4 linked regions of the Caenorhabditis elegans genome follow. The protein of the gene in region 4 purifies or fractionates together with the protein of the main gene of each other region. This does not show direct contact. Each region holds a gene or a part of one and is shown on either strand. Other genes may lie near its edges.

Region 1 (4,603 bases), on a different chromosome or scaffold from region 4:
GGCGGTAAAAATTTCAAATTTCGCACGGAAATAGTTACAAATAAAAAAAAATCAATATTTTCAGGTAAACGGATCCCGTAGGACACCTCCTCAAATCTCCTAATCTTCCTTTTTTTTTCTAAAAAATTATAAAAAAAATCCTCTCTTCAAATTTAACGGGTCTTGACACGAAGTACTCTCACATTTTAGCATGTTTTTTTTAATGTAAGATATTGAATTCCCCGCCCCCCGGATCATTTGCTCAATTTCTTCTATGAATTTATTGATTTTTTTTCAATCACCCGGCTTCTTCAATTTTTCTGTATTTTTGTGATTTTTTTCGAATTTTTTGGTTAAAAATTCATCATTATTCGGTGCTTTTTCTCATGTGCTTCTTTCAAAATTCTTCCATGTTTGTTGGAATATATGGAATTTTTATGTAAAAATCTTCGATCTCTGCGCTTTTTGCTTCAATAAAAAAATTTAATACCGCGGAAACATTCGTTTGAAGAAAATTTCTTAATTAAGAAAAAGTTCAATTATCACCTTTTCCAGCAAGTTTCCAGCTTGAAATTTTTTATTTATTTAATTATTCAATCATTTCTCATAGTGAGACTTATTATTGATTTATGCTTTCATTTTGTCAAAGTGCGTCCATTTTGTATATATATATATTTTTTTTTTTTTTATGTTGCACAATATTTTCAGGTTAAACAAATATTTAGATACATTTAACTTTACCGTAAAATATGAAAAGGTGCACAGTAAATTGAGAATAATTAAGAAATAAATGTTTAAATTTATTATAAGTGAATTTATTTATTTATAAAAATAGTACGTGAAATATCTATATCCACGCCATTAAAAATTATATTTAAACGTACAAAAGATTCATGCACATGAAAGTATTGTTTAAATTAGGGTTCCCAGCTGAGTGAGGCGCAAAATGCGGGCCTCACGCCGGCCTCACGCCGGCCGGCCTTCGCCTTCGCCGTTCGCCGCTTTCAATAATAATGACGTGAATTTTAAATTTTAATTTTCAAAAATTCGTTGAAAATTTAGAAAAAAAATATAAGAAATGAAAATAAAAGTTTATGTGTAATTCAGTGAAAGGCGAGAGTGACGCCGTGAGGCCGGCGCGGCGACCGCTGAGGCGGGCGAAGGCGCCTTTGCGGCGACCTCATGGGAGCCCTAGTTTAAATCAGGTGAAAAATTAATATTTGAAAAAAAAATCATTAGGGACAACTTTTCGTCCCGTTGGCGAGGAACAGGGAAGTGACCTTTACAACAGCTCTAGCACCTAGCCGGACTAGATTCCCTCGGAATAGCCGGACTAGATTCCCTCGGAATACGATTAAACATGAATTTTTTAAGATTTTGATAATATCGAATTTGTAGATCATCTGTGTCGTTCATGCAATTGAAAAACCAAATGCTAGGTTGATTATTTGTAGAATCGGTAACTATGCGAAACGGAATTCCCAAAAATCCTTCTTGAAATATAGAATTATTTACGTCACTGTTCACAAATGTGACCTTGAACTGGAGAAAGTCCGGTGAAACTAGGAACATCTGAAATTATTTTTTTTTAAAAATTACATGAGATATTCGAACTCACATCTCTCAAATATATAACATTTTTCAATGATAACGAATCCAAAATTATGTCAACTTTTCTGAAGTGAACAAGATTTTCAACATCACACTTGATAACACGCTTAATAATTGTCAACTCTTTCGCATTCCTCCATTGTTCCATGACCAAAAACTCTTCAATGCTCCATACATCACTTGCAGGTACGTCGAAAGATGTTCCAAACTCAATTTTGTTCAGCTTAGAGGGATCCACGGATTGGAGCAGTTGCACTATGGTTTTTTGGTTTCTTGTTGTGACAACCAACTTTTCCACTGGCAGCAATCGACCCAGCGAGGCGTGCAAATCTTTGAACGATTTCAAAAATCGATTCTCATTCTGGTCCCAGATTGAATGACTTTCTGTTTCCTGGGGATTCCCCTCAATTTCATCCATGTATTTTTTTTCTTCTTCCGTAACATCCTTGAAACTTGACTCGCTGGTTTCATCAACTTGCATAAAATTCATTTTAAGTTCTTCCAAAGCAGATTTTTGATTTTTCAAAATAAGGAACAAGTCGTTTGAAAAGTTGCCGTAATCCAACTCGCTAGATTTTCTGGATAATCTTGAAGCCTTATATGAAACTTTTCGGTTTGTGGATTCGGTAAACATCTCAAGAAGTGCGCACCCAATGCTTTGAACATGAATGCCGATTTTGAGTAATTTATGGTCTGGTTTGATAAGGTCGATGCACTGACGGCTTCCATAAGAAATTTTACGGAGCACTTGTCTGAAAAAATAAAATTCAAGCTAAAAAAAATCAAAAGACTTTACATACATATCAAAAAAATCGAGACGTTCAACAACGCTGTTCATAATCACAGTGTTGTAGAACCACAAAGTGCTTGATATCGATGAGCCAGAAACTTCAGACAAAAGCTTCGTTTCATCCATTGTCAGCTGCTCTAGCTGGTTCTGAATAGTTGCATTGTTAACAATAATTTCGTTTCGTGCAAGTATTACACTGTAGGAGAAATAAAATATGCCTGTTCTGTGCTAACTCTAGCTTTTTCTCGTGTCGGGCCATAAATTGAGCAAGATTTTGGCAAAACTTGGTTTAGGTTGCTCTTGATCTGCCACTCTTATCTAATTAGGAAATAATGTTAATTGGACATTAAAAAAGACAGAAGTGAAATGGAAGATCAGATTTTTGGCTACATGAGTTTTTTTGGGGTTACCTGGAACTTAGCAGAATAAAAAAGAATTTAAAAATGATTGCAATGTTCCTATTCGTGTATTTTTTTTTTTCGAAAGTTTTCGAAATTTTTTGTGATGTCTCATTATGAAATTCGGTGGTTTTGGACCAGTTTTAGTCTATTTAAGCAAAATATCCACAAACTCTACTCCCCCTTTAAGTTGATTCACAATTTGGAGAAAAATGCAAATTTAACGAAAATCTGAACTTTTGCCATGATGTCAATGTTATGCCGCAGTGACCGAAAGTTGAAATAATTTAATTCGCACTCTAGTTTGCATGTGGTAATTGGTACATTCAATTTCTAAGTCACAACATCTTGACAGTTTTTCCACACAGCAGGACACACGAATTCTTTTTCAGCATCAGATTTTGTCAGCTCCAAAACTGTTGTACAGGCTCACCTGCTAAAGGTCACTCTCTCGCAAAATATGTAGGAGGCAGTTATATTGCCTGTGTATCTCTACAAACTCAACTCTCTCTATACGCTCACAGGCCACTCCCGTTGTGGGGGAAAAACGGTCAAGATGTTGTGACGTAGAAATTGTAGGTACCAACTATGCTCACTTACCAATTATCAACATGCATAGTCGGTACCTTTTCACTAGTCAAGAACATTGATCACATAGAGTCTACAAATTTTCTGACCGAATATATGTTAATTGGAAATAAAAGAAAAGAGCCAAACTTTCGACGCTTTCACTAATTAAATAATTTTTCTGGGCTTCTTTCCGTTAGTTTTTCGTTGTTCTTTTTGTTGCATAGATTGCATAGCAAAAATAATTTATTCATAGGAAAATTGACAACTGACAAAATTGCCGAAAAAAAATCTAAATAACCCCTATGCAAATTTAGCTATTTACCTGTTAAGTTTTCCAGGTTTTCATAAATTCCCCAAATCCAAGTACTGCTCTAAAACAAATAATCTAAAAATTGTCCAGCTTGAAAAACAAATACCCATCTTCCCAACGTCTTCCAGGAAATTCTAACCGCAATAATATTTTCCTGCATTGCATCCAGATGTTAGTTATTGGAAATATATGAACATGCGAAACGGAAACCAATATTTTCTTGGAACATCTTAAAATGAATGAGATTAGTTTTTCTTTGTATAGAGCTTCTTTACACCTATTACCCTACTCATATGAGTTGATTAAATGTATGGGTACTGTAAGGGTACGGTAGTTAAACTCAAAACTGAACTGTTATTATAATTCTTGCCTACTAATATTTACTGTTGAATTTAGTCATTACGGCCCATTTTCTATTATTTAAAGCAAAAAAATTGACTCTACTCCAGTGGTGGGCGGCAAACGATTTTTTCCGGCTAATCAGCAAATTACCAGAATTGAAATTATAGGCAAATCGGCCAACCAGAAAATTGCCGATTTGCCGGAAAAAACACTTCCGGCAAATTGATATCCGACAAATCGGCAAACCGGCAAATTACCGGAATTCAAAATTCCCGGCAAATCTGCAAACCGGCAAATTGGCACAATTGAAAATTCCCGGCAAACCGGCAAATTGGCCGAATTGAAAATTCCCGGCAAATTCTCTAACCGGAAAATTTCAGGCAAGTCGATTAACCGGCAAAGTGCCGGAGTTAAAAATTTCCGGCAAATCAGCTAACCGGAAAATTTCCGGCAAAGTACCGGAGTTAAAAATTTCCGGCAAATCGGCGGAATTGAAAATTCCCGGCAAATCGGCAAATTAGCGGAATTGAAAATTTCCGGCAAACCGGCAAATTTGCCGAATTGAAAATTTCCGGCAAATCAGCTAACCGGAAAATTTCCGGC
Region 2 (5,814 bases), 9.6 Mb from region 4:
GCTAAAAATTAAATGTAGCAATTTTTTAAACCGTTAAGCTCAGTAGTAACGAAGACTTCCAACATTGTTCAAGAGCCATGAACAATTTCTGAACCTTTGATTACTTGATCAAACTATTTCTAAACTTTGATAATCTCCTGTTGCTTCAACGTCATATTCAGTGACAGCTGACTTCAACGAACTTCCCACGCATTCTTATCACAGTTTGCCACTATTTGGAGGTCTTTCATTGAAAGTCCCGAGGTGATTATTTGTTCAATTCGTCACTCAAAAAAACTTTTTTTTGTGAAACGGAATAAACATGATCAGAGTCATACACACACACAACACAGCGGTTTTTGTTCATTATTTCCGAATTGGTCTGATCAAATACTGATCATATATCGGTGGCGCAAATCACACAGAACACGTTTTTAAAAGTCGATTTGAAACAGTTTTTGATCATTTTTGGTCTCTGAGGGCACTGTCGATAGGTGCGGTTTCTCTTCTTTTTTTTTCTTTATACGTGAATTGCCTAGTTGAACTTTAATTTTTCGAATACAAGACATAAATCCAAAGTTTTTATTACTTGGATAATGATTTGGGTTTACCTTTCCCAGAGCCGGCAATCTACTATGGCTTGTAGTTATAATTTATTACTTTTATTCTTTTTAGGAAATTGCAAAGTCTTACTGTACCGTAGGCTTGAACTTTTATGTTAAAGTTGGAAAACAAACTTGAAAAACACCACGTTGACCTTTTTTATTTTTAGCTCAACAACAACGCAGAGTTTAAAGTTTTTGTTTCTCAAGTTAACTATTTCAAAATCACGTTTGTTGTTCTATGATCCATGTTGTTCTCACAAGTTCTTTCAGCAAGCAAAAACTGCAAAACGACGCTATGGGTATTATGTTGTTGGTTCGCCAGGATCGGCACAATCAAGTTTTTCGGGAGGCGCCGTCTATCAATTAAAAGCGACCTCTGATACTTTAGAAACTGGAATCGAACCGACGGTGATCAAAGATTGGGGCGGTGCGGGTTTTCGATTTTCTTGAAATAATGTTTCATCTTTATTCGCTGGGTCCGGCCTCCAACATTCTCTAGTAGTTTGTTCATTTCGATGATCGGTGTGCTCACTTCAACGATCAGTCCTCTCGCTCCCCTAACCGACCATTGCGAAATCTGCGCAATATACTAGCTACATAGACAACTGACTGTGTATGTGTGTGTGTGTTGCCCCCGCCCACTTTGTGTTCTATTGATCTCTGAACATTAACCGCTCGCTTGGAAGAGACCTCCCTCCTTTCCTCGTTTTCCCAGTCTTTTTACAATTGGTCTTCTTCTCCTTTCTCTTCCATCGTGCCCCGCTTTTATCTCTGAAGAAGATGGAGAAAAAGCTTCTACTCTTTCCCCTCTTCTAACCCCTTAAAATATTCTCCGCCTATGGGTCCGTCGCACAAACCACACCCCATTTGCTCTTGCGCCCTTTGCTCATTCAGTCAGTTCAATGCTTTAAAACATCATAGACGTAGACGTTTCATCATATCATTCCTCCTATGCACTACATCACCGAATATCGTACACTCCTATCCGTTTTTTTGTCTTGTCTTGTAAGATAAGCTATTAAAAGATATTTTAACAGTTTAGTTCCATTGAACTGATAAGAAGCTGATTCCCGCTCCCTTTCTCTCATTATTACTTTCCATTCATACTTGATCTTGTCAACGTACCATTAGGTACAGTCTCACCCGTTTTGCTTTTATCATTTGTTGCGCATCTTTGAATGACCAAAGATCTTACTCATCGTCTGCTGTCCCTGTATTCCTCGCATTGTACGATTTTGATGGCCTGTCATCTGAATTGTCTTATGCGTCTTCGCGCCAAGATCAACTGTTTATTGATCGTAGTCATGTAGTCAATCAGTCAGCACAGTCATACATTCCATACAAAATTGTGAAATCAGTTCGGTTTTCTGGTTTCACTGATTATGTAGTGCGCCCCATAACTATGACTTTGATTTTGATTCTGATTTTCGACCGTCCTCAAAAGACCCAATTGATAAGAGATTGATAATCATTTCCTTCATAGGTTGCACTTGACCGGTGTCTTGTTTTTTGTCACTCTCTAAATATGATACGTTGACTTCCTCATAATATTTTTGTTTCATCTTGACTGTCCATCATTTAATTTTATTCCAGCTATGACTGATACCCAATCCCCGTTTTCATTTGCCGCCGCACTATTGCAATGCGGTTCGCCCGGTCAAACATTTTCAATGGAATCCCTGTTAAAACCGGAATTAGGAGAGTATTCTCCTTCCGGAGAGAATGGAATTGATGGCGAAGAATCAACGATCTGGTATGTGAACGATCATATGATCCCAATCTACTTTTGTCTTTTTTTTACAGTTCTGTATGTTGTGATGAGGCATCCGGAAGACATTACGGTGTTGTCGCCTGCTTCGGATGCAAAGGATTTTTCAGACGTACTGTACGAGCTGGAAAAAACTATGTGTGTCGTTACAGTAAAAAGTGCCGAATTGATAAAGGTGAGTTTTTGCGTGATTTGTGTTCAAGGATCTTACCCATCATGCTTTCAGCTGGACGAAATGTGTGTAGATCGTGCAGATTCCAAAAATGCTTAGAAGTCGGTATGGAGCCTGATGCAATCCGTCCTGATCGCGATAAGACAGGACGCCAAAAGAACCCAAGAAGAAACACCGAAGGCTCGATCAAAAAAGTCTCTGTTGGATCTATTCTAGGCGACCTTCCATGTCTGAATAAATTCAAGGACGACAGCGACGACGCCGCCACTTCACCATCATCAAGAGCTGATTCCGCTCCAATGGACCTCCGACCGAGCTTTATTGATGAATCTGTATTAACAACATTGACAGAAATTGAGAATATTGTGATACAACTGCAAGACAATTTCGAAACAAATCAACAAAGCCTTCCACCAATGGGAGAAGCGATTACGAAACCATCCCTTATTGCTGCTAGGACACTGGTGAGTTGTACATTATTGTGAAATAAGTTTTAATGAAACTGATCATTTTGGTTTAGTTAAACTTCAACGGCGCAAAAGGAGTTGCCGATGCAAATTGTGTGTCATCAAATCTTCGGCGAATGATCGTTTTCACTTTTGACTACATCAATACGTTACGTCCAATTGCTGATTTGCATCCATCGGAAAAGGTACAACACTTTGATCTTAGACCTCGTTTCCCCTACTCCCCATTTTTCAGCTGGTCATTGCCAGAAGCATCATTTCCCCGTTCTGTATCTTGTTCTGTGGTTACCAGTCGGTAGCGATCGAGGCACCAGAACACGACAGTATTTATCTCCCATCAGGACACAAGCTACCCGCCAGCCAGCTGCTATTTACAAAAGACTCGGACCAAAAGAAGTACATACTGTTGGAAAACAAAGCCGAGTAAGTGCAGAGTTGATCATTGAACCCATCCACATAGGCGATCGCTCGTCACGCTCGTCATTGCTACTGATCATTGTTTGTCAATGTGTCTGCAGTGTGTCTGCTCTTTTCGTTCTTTTGTCGATCGAAACCCCCCAGCAACTTTCCATGGAAAAGTGTGTGTGTGTGTGTCTTAAGATAGAATGCTGTAAAGTGTGGGTGGGATAAAGAAGATCTGATCTTAGAACCTTTTTTCTTGTTATTTTAAGCTATCCATCACAAGCTCGCCGATTTTTAGTGCATTAATGCTCTCGCCCCATGAGTGGTCCCTTGGTGATCAATGTCATGCCTAAATCTGAGATCATATTGCCACCCATGGTGATCAGATTATGCAGCAGAAGAAACAACATAGGTCTTGTTTTCTGCTCTCTATTTTTTGATTTCCCGCCTTTAGATCACACGTATAGTTTTTTTTCTTTCTTTGCGCCGCCCTTACCCCTTCCCTTCCCTTCCGCAACAAAAATAAAATTTGCTCTTTGATGTTTGTGAGATCGATGAGAATACACATTTACATACGGAGTGGAAAGCACAAGTCGGGAAGCTAGAGACGCAGCCAGTTCCTCCCCTTCCCGCTATGAAAATGACACCACTCGGTGTTTGAAAGACAAGCGAGAAACTGCAAAATAGTGTGGCTTTTAAAGAGTGACGGGCGAAAAGTAAAGTGCGCACCGCTGCGACGACTGCATTTGGTCGGTGTTGATCTCTTGAACTTTGATCATTGTTGGACTGGCTGAGCGAAAGTGTCTTGTGGTTTGGTTGCGCTAGTCATGTAATATGACGGGAAGTAGGAAAGATGAGAGAGCGCATTATTTGCCTGTGATGATGATGATGATGGTGTTGATGAGTGTTTAAAAGAAAACACAATAATATTGTTTTCGTTTTTGCAGCAATGTCCGACGAAACATGACTGAAATGATTATCCAACAGCTCCGTCGCCTCAATGTAACAAAGACTGAAATGGTTGCACTGAAAGCGATTATGGCATTGGATCACAACGTGAAAGGATTATCCGCCGAATCTTGCGAGCTTCTCGTAGTTGCAAGAGAATCGGTGCAAAATGCTCTGTTCTCCCATTTAATTGCAACATTTGGAACTGCGGAGGCAACATCGCGATTTGCACACCTCCTTCTTTTAATTGCTTCTGCAACGGTAATAGAATCAAGATCAAAAGATCAGCTTTCTCATCATCTTCTATTTTCAGAGGGTCGCCTACTCGCTCTCCTCGTTCTTCCAGCTCAGCAGAGACGTCAACTATGAAATCGATTATGTGCTTGAAGAGCTTTTATTTTTAGACCGCATTTGAATTGTTTCGGAAGTTAAATGTACTTCACCTTTTTTGTATACACCAGCCTACCTACAGTAATTCTTATTACTCGAATAGCTTGATTATGTTGTCATACTTCATTTCAATACTGTCAGTGTTTCATTGTGACGGGTACACACACTTTCTACACATTGATTAATTATATTAATTAATTGATCTGAGCTTCTCCTTATCTCTCATTTTTTTCTCCAATAATTTCAATTTCTTCTGTCTTCCCACTCGGTCTCGTGTTTGTCCAGAGTTGCCAAACTATTGTTACCTCAATGACATTATTATGTATAGTTTACCTATTAAATATATGTAATAATAAATATAAATTATATTATCAAATCTAACAGTACTGTTCAAAATAGAATTTGATATCAGACATACACCACCATCAAAAACCATTTTTTCAAACATTAAATGTCTATTACTTTCGTACTAAAACATCATGCACGTCAGTTCCCTTCTAGACCGGAAGTAGGTAGTTTATGCCGTTTTCTCTCTCTCTCTCTCCATTTCCTTTTTCCCTTCAAAGATTGCGTTTCGTTTATGCTACTGGAGGCCTGCAGCACGAAGAGATGAAGACGTGCACGTAGGCCACCATCATAGAGGCCACAGAATAAAAGTGCAAGTGGTCGGCTACTGCTTTGCACAAATCTTACACAACGTCGCTCTTTGGTCTTCTCGGGGGGAGAAAAGAGGCAAAAAGAGTAGTCCCGCTCCCCTACTTTTTGCTATACTCGATCCCATTTCTCCGCTTCATTCTCTTACTCCTTCTCTCTCTCTGTTCTTTAATCTACTTTCGCGCTCTGCGACGCTTGTGCGTGACCAGAACACACCAACTGCTAGCAGAAAAATCAAAGAGAACAACCATTTGGTGTATCACAAGGACCTGGGCAAGCCGCTCGCCCCAATTTGCTCCAGAAATAGCATCAAGACGTTTTTTTTTCAACAACCAACTAGTTGTACACAATTCGGATATAAAGTCACATGCGAACCAGGAGAAGTAGGGCGACTAATGATCACTAGAACATTAAGAACTGAACAACGCT
Region 3 (2,869 bases), on a different chromosome or scaffold from region 4:
TATGCCTTTATTATTTATTTCGGAAAATTTATGAAAGATTATTTTCCAGACGAGAATCTGCGTCCATATCTTTCCCAAATTGATGCTATGGATGAGAGCACCCGGAGATTGGAGGAAGCTACCGCTGTTCTTGAAAATTATGTTACCCAACTCGGTAGGTTAAGCCTTTCAAGAAAAAATTCAAAGATTTTTAATTTCAGAATCCAAGCTCACCAACATCCAACAGCAAAGCCAATAAGCCAGCTCAATCTCAAACTATTTCCAGCTTTTCTGTAACTAAATTAATGTGTGATTTCTTATTCACATTCCGTTCAATAATTTATGTAACTCTAGTCATTATATTCAGCATAACTTATTTTTACATTTTCTTGTCAAAGTTTCTATTTCTCATTAATGCTAATTTTGCTCCCTCCCTTTTGCTATAAAATAACTTATGAATTATGCTTTGTCTTGTTTTTTTCGATGTTTTCAGATGTTTACTTCATTGTTAAATCCATGCGTTTCAACTTTTTTACAAATTTATTCATACAAAGAAGCAATTGTCTTCCCTTGAGTTGCAAAACTTTTTGCATCTTTAAAATCAAATGATATGAAAATATGGGCGGGATCAAGCTTCAACTGCTCATTGAGCACTGATGTCAATTTTTTTGCATATGAGTCATTTTCGATTCGAGAAGAAGGCCGGGTTGTTTGGAACTGAAAATTGTTATTCTTAATTTTCAACGAGTTGACATTTTCAAAAAAAAAAAACACGGTCTCTGGTCCCGGCACGTCCAAAACTTGTCAGCTACCGTACCCCGGTATTCTATCACTTTTTAGTTAAAAATATTTTTCTCATAAAATTAACTTATATTTTATGAATCTAGTTAGTTTTTCTATTTTTCACACATTTCTTCTCGATTAAAAAAATTTTAATTATAAAAAAGTTTTCAGATTTTGAAAAATACACAGGTTACTGTAGCTGAAAAATTTTACACGTGACAAGACCCAAGCCTAATATTTTTTCAAAATAAAAAAAAACGCACATTTACAATTGCAACTGGAATTTCTTTATTCTCAAATCCAATTCTCATTCTAACTGCCGGCTCAACAATAATCACGAATTTATCAGCTGGTAATTCCATTACAACTGATAAATTGTAGATCACATCTTGCTGAAAATATTAGAAATTAGAAATTTCGTTTTATGCAAACTTACTTCAAACTTTTCTGGAATATCAGCACTTCGGATGTTGGTTTGAATTCGAACAACTTGCATTTTAATTCTAAAATTTTGAAATTCGGCTTGAAAATATTTTAAAAAAAAGAGAAATTGTCGTTTCGCAACATAAAAACCAACGGGAAAAAATGCTCAGCCAGCTGAGAAAACATGTCGCTCGAAGAAAAGAGCGTGCACTCGACAATAAATACACAACTCCATTTGTCAATGTTATGTGCGCAGGATGGACAGAAATGGGATGACATGGAAACAATTAGTACGGGGAAATGGAAATAAGTTTGACCTTGAATTTTGGGTTGGGCACACGGTTTTTTTGGTGAAAATCGGAAGTAGGTTAGGGAGACACAGATCAGAATGTGTTGCAACAACTAGAAGCAAGAATCACAGTTTTGAATCAATATTATTTATATTATCGTAATTTCATTAGGGTCTCGCCACGATCTCAGTTATGTAGTTGATATTATTCAGATGCAGATTTTCGCGATTTTTGCTATAATAATACGGTACCAGGTCTCGGTACGACAATTTTTCTTAGACACAACCATGTCAGCGCTTTGAACAGTACTGTAGTTTCAAACTATCTTTGTTAACGAGAAGTATTTCCTGAAATTCGTACACCATATTTTTATTGCTGCGCTCCATTTTTCATGACTCATAAAGCTGGAATAGGTTCAAAAACTTTTGTTTAGTTATTCTAGATTACTGTAGACTAAATCAGCTGGCTGCTCATCTCGAAATTTCCAACTCTTTTTTTCCACTCGGCTCAATTCCGTTCGCGATTCGTGACTCAACATTTCGAACTTTCTCTGTCTCATTAAAGTACCTGTCACGTGGGGACTCCCCTCTGTGACGTCACATATCACGTTGTCGTGTGATTTGTCTTCAACATTCTTCTCCTCCCAGACAAGACCACGTGCTTTTCGGTTTAGTGCAGTCTGTCCTTTCCATTTCAATTGTATATATGCATGATGACAGAGAGGTGCAAGAGACTCAGAAATAGAAAGACAATGCGAGAGACAACATAAGACGTGGATACGCAGACGGAGAAACAATGTGGGTAGTGCAAGCTGTGGACTACTGAGTGTTGAAACGAGTGGCGTGATCCTCCCGACCCTGTTCTCTGATGGCCTGAAATAGTGGGCTTTGTCAAGAGATTACAGAGAGACACGGAAAAGTGAGAAACTTTCTTCCGTTCTTTTGAGTTATCACGTAGTTTTCCAAACTGACAAGGTTTCTAAAACTGTTCACTCTTCACTTTTTTTCTGAGATTTGAATTTTTTCAATGAATTTTCCCGTGAATTCTTTGAAATTAACCGTATACAATTCCCACGTCTCATTTTTTAAATTTCTTTTTTATTTAATTATTGTTCAAAAGCGAAATTTTGTTGTTTTTTGCGCCAGAAATACGGCACACGGTCTCGACACGACAAGCATAGGAAATGTGAAAAGACGTGTGCCTTTAAAGATTACTGTAGCATCGATTTGTTGGAATTCATGCGTTTTATTGTTATATTTGAGTTGTTTTAAACATAAATAAAAGTGTTTTTTGTCTAAAAAACTATGAAATTCTATAAAAATTCCGCAACAACCGAGACCTTGTCGCATTTAACTAAAATTGTTCGTGGCGAGACCGGCTACCGTATATCTGGC
Region 4 (6,922 bases):
GACATTTTTTCACAACTTGTTCTTCATTTCTTAACATTCAATCTGTTTCAACACAAATACCTTATTATTTTTTATTTAAAAAATGCCGTCTCCACAAAAAATTGATTTTGTGTGCCAAATTGTAACAATACAATTTCACAAAAAAATATTGCTGATATTTTTTCATCCCCGGATTTGTTAACTGAATTTTTCCCATATTTTTCCACAATTTTCCTTAAAAAACACTTACCAGAGTCGGGATGTCCACTGTTCATGGCGTAGAGCTCAATTTTGCTAGAAACTGAATGATTTTAGACAGGAATCTGGCAGAAAAACGGGAAACGCTCGAGAAAACAAATTAATAATTTAATTTTCTAATTTTAAAACCCATTTCATTAAAATAACACACTGATTGTTGGAATATTAAACAAAAAATGACTGAAAACCATGAAAATAAAATGAGCAACAAAACACTTCTCAATAACAAAACATATAACGTGATAAATAAGCAGGAACTGGATTTGAAAAAATAGCTGCATTCATTAAACACGCATCTGAGAAGAAATTGTCGGTGGAGCGTACTTGCTGATCTCCTTGTTCAATGGCCGGTGAGTGTGTGAGTGTGCGTGTTGAGCTAGTCGCTAGTCAGACCACCTGCATAGGCAATTGAACTGTCGGCAAGATTGAAAAAATCGATAACATGCTCTGAAGGACTGTTTAAAAATCCGAAAGTTGATTTTGAAATAAACAAAAGATAAACTGGAAATACAAATATACATTTGCCATGCAGAAGCATTGAGAAAAGATCATCAGACCTTGTTTCAGCAATTATTTAAATTTGAAATGTACACCTTTTTCTACTTGTTTGCTAGAAAATTCTACGCACTGAAAACGTCTGGAACAAATTTTTCAAGCGATTCGACAAAAATCTTCAGAAATGTAAATAATCAAAACTTTTTTTTAGAAACCTATATGTTTTTAATTTAAAAAATCAACGTTGAAATTTTGAGCATTTTAGGAATTGAAAAATGCAAATTTTGCAACAAAAAAAAGCTCTTGCTTCAAAGAGTTCCCAAAAATCCATGTTCTCGGTAGTTCGCCAATTTCTGTGTTTTTTTCGTGAAGGTGGAGTGCGGAGAGAAGGGATGTGACTAAAAACCATTTATATAATGCTAAAGTAACCGTATACCATAGTATAACTTCTCAAAAACATTTGAAAAATTTTTTTATTTCGAGTAAAAAAAGGTGAAATATATAATATGCAGTGGTTTGAATATGCAAACAGTGCTTTAGTTTTCTCGACAAGTGGAGCAAACTCAGTTTTCACCACTTTTTGGCTTGAACTAAGACTCCCGCATTACAGTTTTTCCTTGAAAACTGGGCCCAAATTTAAAAATTAACCATTTCTGGCAAAGAGGATTAACTACTAATGTTAGATTGACATTCTTTTAAAAAAACCTTCTAAGTTTCAGAAATGTAATGTTTCACATTTTCATAAAAAATGAATCATCAAGTATGTTTGCGTACTCTCTCTCTCTCTCTTGGTTTTTTCTCTGTGTGTGCCTTGTACAGCAGCGCCTCATTTGGCCCTCTACTGTCACACTCCCGTACCTTTTGCTTCACGATTCGGTTTTTGTCTTGTTTCGCAATCGTCTTATGATCTGGTGAGAATAAATCCCCTCTCTGTCGATGCCTTTCCTCCAGCAGCAGCAGCCCCATCCGATCGTACGCCATTCGCCCAAGCATTACACTGTTGGAAGGGCAAATACACACACCGGAGGAGCCCTTCTTCCCTTGCTCTCATTTGTAGTCACTTCTCTTTGCCGTCTCGGTTTTTCTCCCCTTTCCTACACAAACACTCCCGAGACCTAGCATATCCTCAAAATCCTCTGTGCCTCCCCCCCCCCCCGTTGCATTTTATTACTGATTTTTCAAAGATTTTGCATAAAAATAGCAACCTTTCAGCCACCGTATGTCGTCTGGAGATGCTCCGTTAGAAGTGGTAGGGGTGGAGAAAATTGGGTCCAAACCTAGAAGCAAAGAATTCTATCCGTTTGCTTACTCTCTTTTAGACTGTACCAAAGACGATTACTGCTGGACATGTCTTGGAGAGAACGTTGAATTGTAAGTTTGACTGAAAAAAAGAGTCTTATGACATACGTTGTTTTCAGAACATGCGAACAATGTAAAGTTGCAAAATTTTGCTCGAAGCAATGTGAAACATCAGGAGCAATTGACCACAAGGTACCTAAACTTAACACATTCAATTTTTAGTACTTGTGCAAAATACCTGCCCCAAAAATTTTACTAATACGTTTTTCATTCATTCATTTCTTCTATAAATGATAATTCAATGAAAACGTGAATGAAGTTTGTTTGTATGTTTAGGCTTGAAAAAACACTAATCCAGATATGGACAGAAAAAGGTCACGAGTACCCAATTTCTACTGAAATTTTTTGTTTTTACTTTTTTTTATATATAGTATGTATGTTATAGTTTTACAACAGTAAAAGGATTTCAAGACTTGTTTTTTATAACCCCTTAATTTTGCAATTGACACTATTTAGATATAATTTACACACATTTTTCTCTTGAAAATAATTCCAATAGGCAATAAAATACTTACGACATGATATTCACTTTTTTTTAGTACGAGTGTGGACCTTTGAAAAAATGCCCGGATTTGAACACTGATGAAAGAATGCTTATTAGAATTGTTGGACGGTATAAGGATATTCATTCTGGAAAAGACAAAAGCATCGATGGATTTTACAACAACCGAGAGAGCAAGAGAAGCGTCATGGAAATTTGGGAGCACTGTGCGGATATGAAAAAAGATGAAAATGCTATGAAATCTTTTAAAAGTAGGGTTTTCGAGTTTTTGAATTATTAAAAATAAAAGAAAACACTTCTAAATTCAGAAACCTACGATAGAGTGAAACAATTCGGCGACACTAATCATTTAATGGATGAAGAAGTAACGTTCCAGCTTCACTCCAGAAACTTCATCAATCGACATAGCATATCGAATGTGGATTATTTACGAGAAATTGGAAAAGGTCTTTATTTGGATCTTTGTAAATACGATCACTCTTGCAGACCTAATGCGGTAAATTTTTTTTAGATGTTTTTCTTAAATGAATGTTTTAATTTTAGATCTACAGTTGTAACGGGATCGTGGCAAAGTTGCGAGCTCTTCATGATAATGTTGATTTAGAAAATGTCGAAACTACACATTACACCTACATTGAATTACCACCGTTAGTATTTTGAGAGTATAATTTTTTTAAACTGTAACTTTAATTTCCAGCTGTAAAATCCAGCGTCGTCATATGCTTAAAGAAACATGGTATTTCGAATGTCACTGTGAAAGATGTGACGATCCAGATGACAACTGGCTAACATCAGTTCTTTGCCCAGTTTGCATTTCAAAGGTATACTTTGTATTAAAAATATATATAACTAACTTATTCATTTTTCAGACAGAATATCGAAAAACAATTAAACTACATGGTCCGGAGGCATATGCGAATCCTGAAACATTGGAGATTGTATGTGATAGATGCAGTACCACGTTGGATAGGGTAAGGATTTTTCACAAAAAAATTGTGTAGAATTGTAGTAAAAAATTTGATAACGAAAATTGTATCAACCGTATTATCCCTGTTAAACACGTCATTGCTCATTTCTGGCGCCTTATATTTCGCCTTACTCAAAATTTTTCGCAAAATGTTTCTCAGTCCACCTGTAGAATAATATTTTGCACGTATTTTCCTCTTCACAACTTTTTTATAAAATTGAAAAAAACACAAGATATACTCGGCATTTGGAGGCAACTTCCTGCCAAATTATGGCAACTTCCTGCCAAGTTTTGCTTGTTTCCAACTTCCTGCCATATTTTGCCAACTTCCTGCCAAATTTTGGCAACATCCTGCCAGCATGTAGCATGCATGGCTTTGGCAACAGTCTGCCAACAGTCTGCCAAACTTCGGCATCAGCTTGCCAACAGCCTGCCAAACTTTTTGGCAACATTTACGGTAAACGTGACGCACTGGCGTAATTTCGGAGCATCGGTGCTTTTCAGCCGAACTTCAAAATTGAATTAATTCAAACTTTGCGGTGGAACTATCGAATTTCGAATTTTAAAAAACTAACAGTGATAGAAAAATTAGTAGATTATCATAAAATGAAAGCAAAGTGGGAATAAGAACGCATACTACACGAAAAACGAAGTAGGATAACTTCATGTCGTCGCGGCTTCTGAATTAATGTTGTAAAACATGCTGTTAAGAAAACCCGACATGATAGAACGAGCTATGCGAAATTGTTTATTCTTTGAGAACAGTTACATCAACTTGCTTACAATAGTCCTTTACATCACCATGTTCTAGAATTACATGTTGGGCATTTCAGAGCTACTTATCTGTGTTTACCTCCTTGAAACTATTTTCTTCAACATTTTTTTACAATTTTCCATTGGATTTCATATTTGAACAACTCTATTCTACTTTATCTTGCGCGCGGGCATAGCTTAGAGGTTAAGGAATTGGGCTGACAGTCACAAGGAGAAGGTCCGGGATCTGGTAGGGCAGAAAAAGGGAAACATGACAGTGCAAGTTGATATCCAGCCGATTGGACTAATTCAAAAAGTAACGTTTTTTTTTCTAATTTTACCTTGTTCTGGTTGAATCGTATGTATGCTAAATTCATTTTATTGATCCCCTTAATACAAAAATAACCATAATCAGTTGAAAAAAAACGAAAAAAGAATTTTTACTGACAACACCTGGGCAACTTCCTGCCAACTTCGTGGCAACTTCCTGCCAACAATTTGGCAACTTATTTTAGTGGCACTAAATAAGTTGCCAGGTTGTTGGCAGGAAGTTGCCAAAGTGTTGCAGGAAGTTGCCTCTGAATGCCGAGTAAGCTGTCAAAGTACAACAGTGGTAGTGCGGGGCTAATAAGAAAAATACGGTAGCTTTTAATTTTTTCATATGGAAGTTGTCGAAAAACCAAAAAAAATGATTAGACATATCTTTTTAATTTTTAACGGTGGTGTATGATCATTGGTTATTTTTCTAAATTTATTCATGACTCAACAAAACCACAATTTTTAGTTAAAGTTTTGGCCAAGGGCCAAATTAAAACTTTTTGACTTTTTGAATAATTTAGCCAATTGTTCCAGTTTTGAACCCCAATGTTGTAATAAAAAAATAATTTAACATCAGTTTATCCCTTTGATGTTTTTTTTAAGTTTTTTTTTTTAGGAATACATCTTCATGGCTCTTGATGGCATGAGAACTATCCGTCGAACTGTAGAAGGAGCTGAAGATGAAACGGTAATTTTTTCCCGTATCGACAAGATGACATATGATATGTTTACAGAAAGATCCCATCGAGCTTCTTAAAATCTACCAAGGAGCACTGATGACCTATGAGCGTATTTTGCCAATGTCAAATGCCTATTTCTGTCAGCTTATTGCTGCAATGATCCCTCTAATCTCAAGAGTAAGCATGACGAAAAAAGAGCGATTGGTGGCTTCTTTGGATCTTCATCTGAAATGTGAAACATTTGTGAGATATGTCTATCGTCATGCTCATCCTTCAAAAGCAATGCACTTTTTGTAAGTTTTAAACACTCTCATAACTTTATTAAATATTGGCGGGTTCAGGCAAATGGGTCAGCTTCACTTGGAGCTCGCCAATGACAAAGATGCGGCAAGATGTTTGATTGAAGCTCATCGCATCATGGATTATCTTTTCGGAGCGGATCATTTCCTGTCAAAGCAGACCAAGGGATTTATGGATCACGCTTTGTCGTCTCTAATGCAATTCCAGAGAAACTTTGTCAATGTTTTGGACCGAGTACCGGAAGCCAAACAGGCATTGGAAGAGCGCTTCATGACGGCCGATGAGAAAAAAGCGCTGAAAGATTCGGAAAAGAATAAGAGGAAAAGAAATAATAAGAAAAACAAGAAAATTGAGCAGAAAAATGAGCAAAAAAGTAGCGGTGAAAATGGAAATTCAAAGACAAAGGGAGTTGAAGACGGATTGGAAGATTTGCCAGAACTTGTTGCTGAAATGTAGTTATTATGTTGTAGTTTGTTGTAATTGTTTACACTTTCCGCTATAATAATTAATTTATCCAATTAATACGTTTTTTCAGTTTTTTTTGCAATAGACTATTTGAACATAAATGTTTTCAATCCCATTTGTTGCATCCAAAACGCGCCAGTTCCAAAAAAATGTCAGGTTTTCAAAAAGTAAATACACTTACTAATAATTATAGGACCCCTTGGACCCCTGACAATAAGTTCTCTCATCGAACCAAACTAAAGCGGTGTAAAAACTTGCAGACTGCGAATGACTGTACGTCTGGCCTTTTGTTGCTCGATCAGAAACCACAATGTTTTGTTCTCTTTCAAAATGTGCTTGTTTTAATTTTCTTTTGAAAATGGAAAATACGTGAATCAATTCTTGAATTCGAGAAAAACATTATAGTTATTGATAACCAAAAAGTTGCAAACTAGCTGCCTTTTTTTAATTTACGGCAAGAGTCGTTCAAGTTTAATCAGGATTTATCCAGGATTGAGCAAGAGTTTGATTTTTTTCAAGATTCGTCCAAGTTTTGGCAGGAATTGTTTTTTTTTCGTTTTAAACTGGGCAGGAGTAGTTTCCCTAACTTTTAGCAGGAGTGTGATTTTTAGCAGGAGTCCGTCTTTTTTCGGGAAGATTGTATACAAATGTTTTTTTTTCGGCGGGAGTTTTGTTTGCCTGACTTGAGTATTAATTATAGGTTCTATAACAGATCTGAAATTTTTTAAAATTCGATTTTAGTTTTGAAATTAAAAAAAAAAACAAAAATAATTGGGACCGCTTATATTTTCAAAATTTTGCAATCATACTGTTGCGGGCCCAGAGCAGTTGGGCGGCTCCTTTAGG

Evidence for each region.
Region 1: the proteins of set-30 (region 4) and R05C11.2 fractionate together in Caenorhabditis elegans (co-fractionation; one large-scale study listed by BioGRID). This does not show direct contact.
Region 2: the proteins of set-30 (region 4) and nhr-3 fractionate together in Caenorhabditis elegans (co-fractionation; one large-scale study listed by BioGRID). This does not show direct contact.
Region 3: the proteins of set-30 (region 4) and mif-4 fractionate together in Caenorhabditis elegans (co-fractionation; one large-scale study listed by BioGRID). This does not show direct contact.

Annotation. Positions count from the first base shown.
Region 1 is NC_003282.8:2,056,606-2,061,208, forward strand, and holds R05C11.2 (DUF38 domain-containing protein), read right to left. Parts: upstream 2,507-4,603; coding exon 2,391-2,506; intron 2,343-2,390; coding exon 1,598-2,342; intron 1,552-1,597; coding exon 1,273-1,551; 3' UTR 773-1,272; downstream 1-772. Other genes in the region: R05C11.4 (Protein shisa-9), read left to right, coding at 65-103.
Region 2 is NC_003284.9:14,556,327-14,562,140, forward strand, and holds nhr-3 (Nuclear hormone receptor family member nhr-3), read left to right. Parts: upstream 1-2,177; 5' UTR 2,178-2,179; coding exon 2,180-2,337; intron 2,338-2,387; coding exon 2,388-2,527; intron 2,528-2,578; coding exon 2,579-2,988; intron 2,989-3,044; coding exon 3,045-3,176; intron 3,177-3,226; coding exon 3,227-3,414; intron 3,415-4,340; coding exon 4,341-4,602; intron 4,603-4,654; coding exon 4,655-4,756; 3' UTR 4,757-5,097; downstream 5,098-5,814. UniProt on the Caenorhabditis elegans protein: Orphan nuclear receptor.
Region 3 is NC_003282.8:6,334,730-6,337,598, forward strand, and holds mif-4 (Macrophage migration inhibitory factor), read right to left. Parts: upstream 1,266-2,869; 5' UTR 1,259-1,265; coding exon 1,199-1,258; intron 1,155-1,198; coding exon 1,026-1,154; intron 697-1,025; coding exon 520-696; 3' UTR 501-519; downstream 1-500. Other genes in the region: blos-2 (Biogenesis of lysosome-related organelles complex 1 subunit 2), read left to right, coding at 50-154, 201-238.
Region 4 is NC_003284.9:4,997,326-5,004,247, forward strand, and holds set-30 (MYND-type domain-containing protein), read left to right. Parts: upstream 1-1,944; 5' UTR 1,945-1,951; coding exon 1,952-2,103; intron 2,104-2,150; coding exon 2,151-2,223; intron 2,224-2,630; coding exon 2,631-2,844; intron 2,845-2,901; coding exon 2,902-3,089; intron 3,090-3,136; coding exon 3,137-3,240; intron 3,241-3,290; coding exon 3,291-3,414; intron 3,415-3,462; coding exon 3,463-3,564; intron 3,565-5,247; coding exon 5,248-5,319; intron 5,320-5,365; coding exon 5,366-5,604; intron 5,605-5,652; coding exon 5,653-6,067; 3' UTR 6,068-6,191; downstream 6,192-6,922. Other genes in the region: ZC8.6 (Phosphatidylinositol 4-kinase type 2), read right to left, coding at 230-254.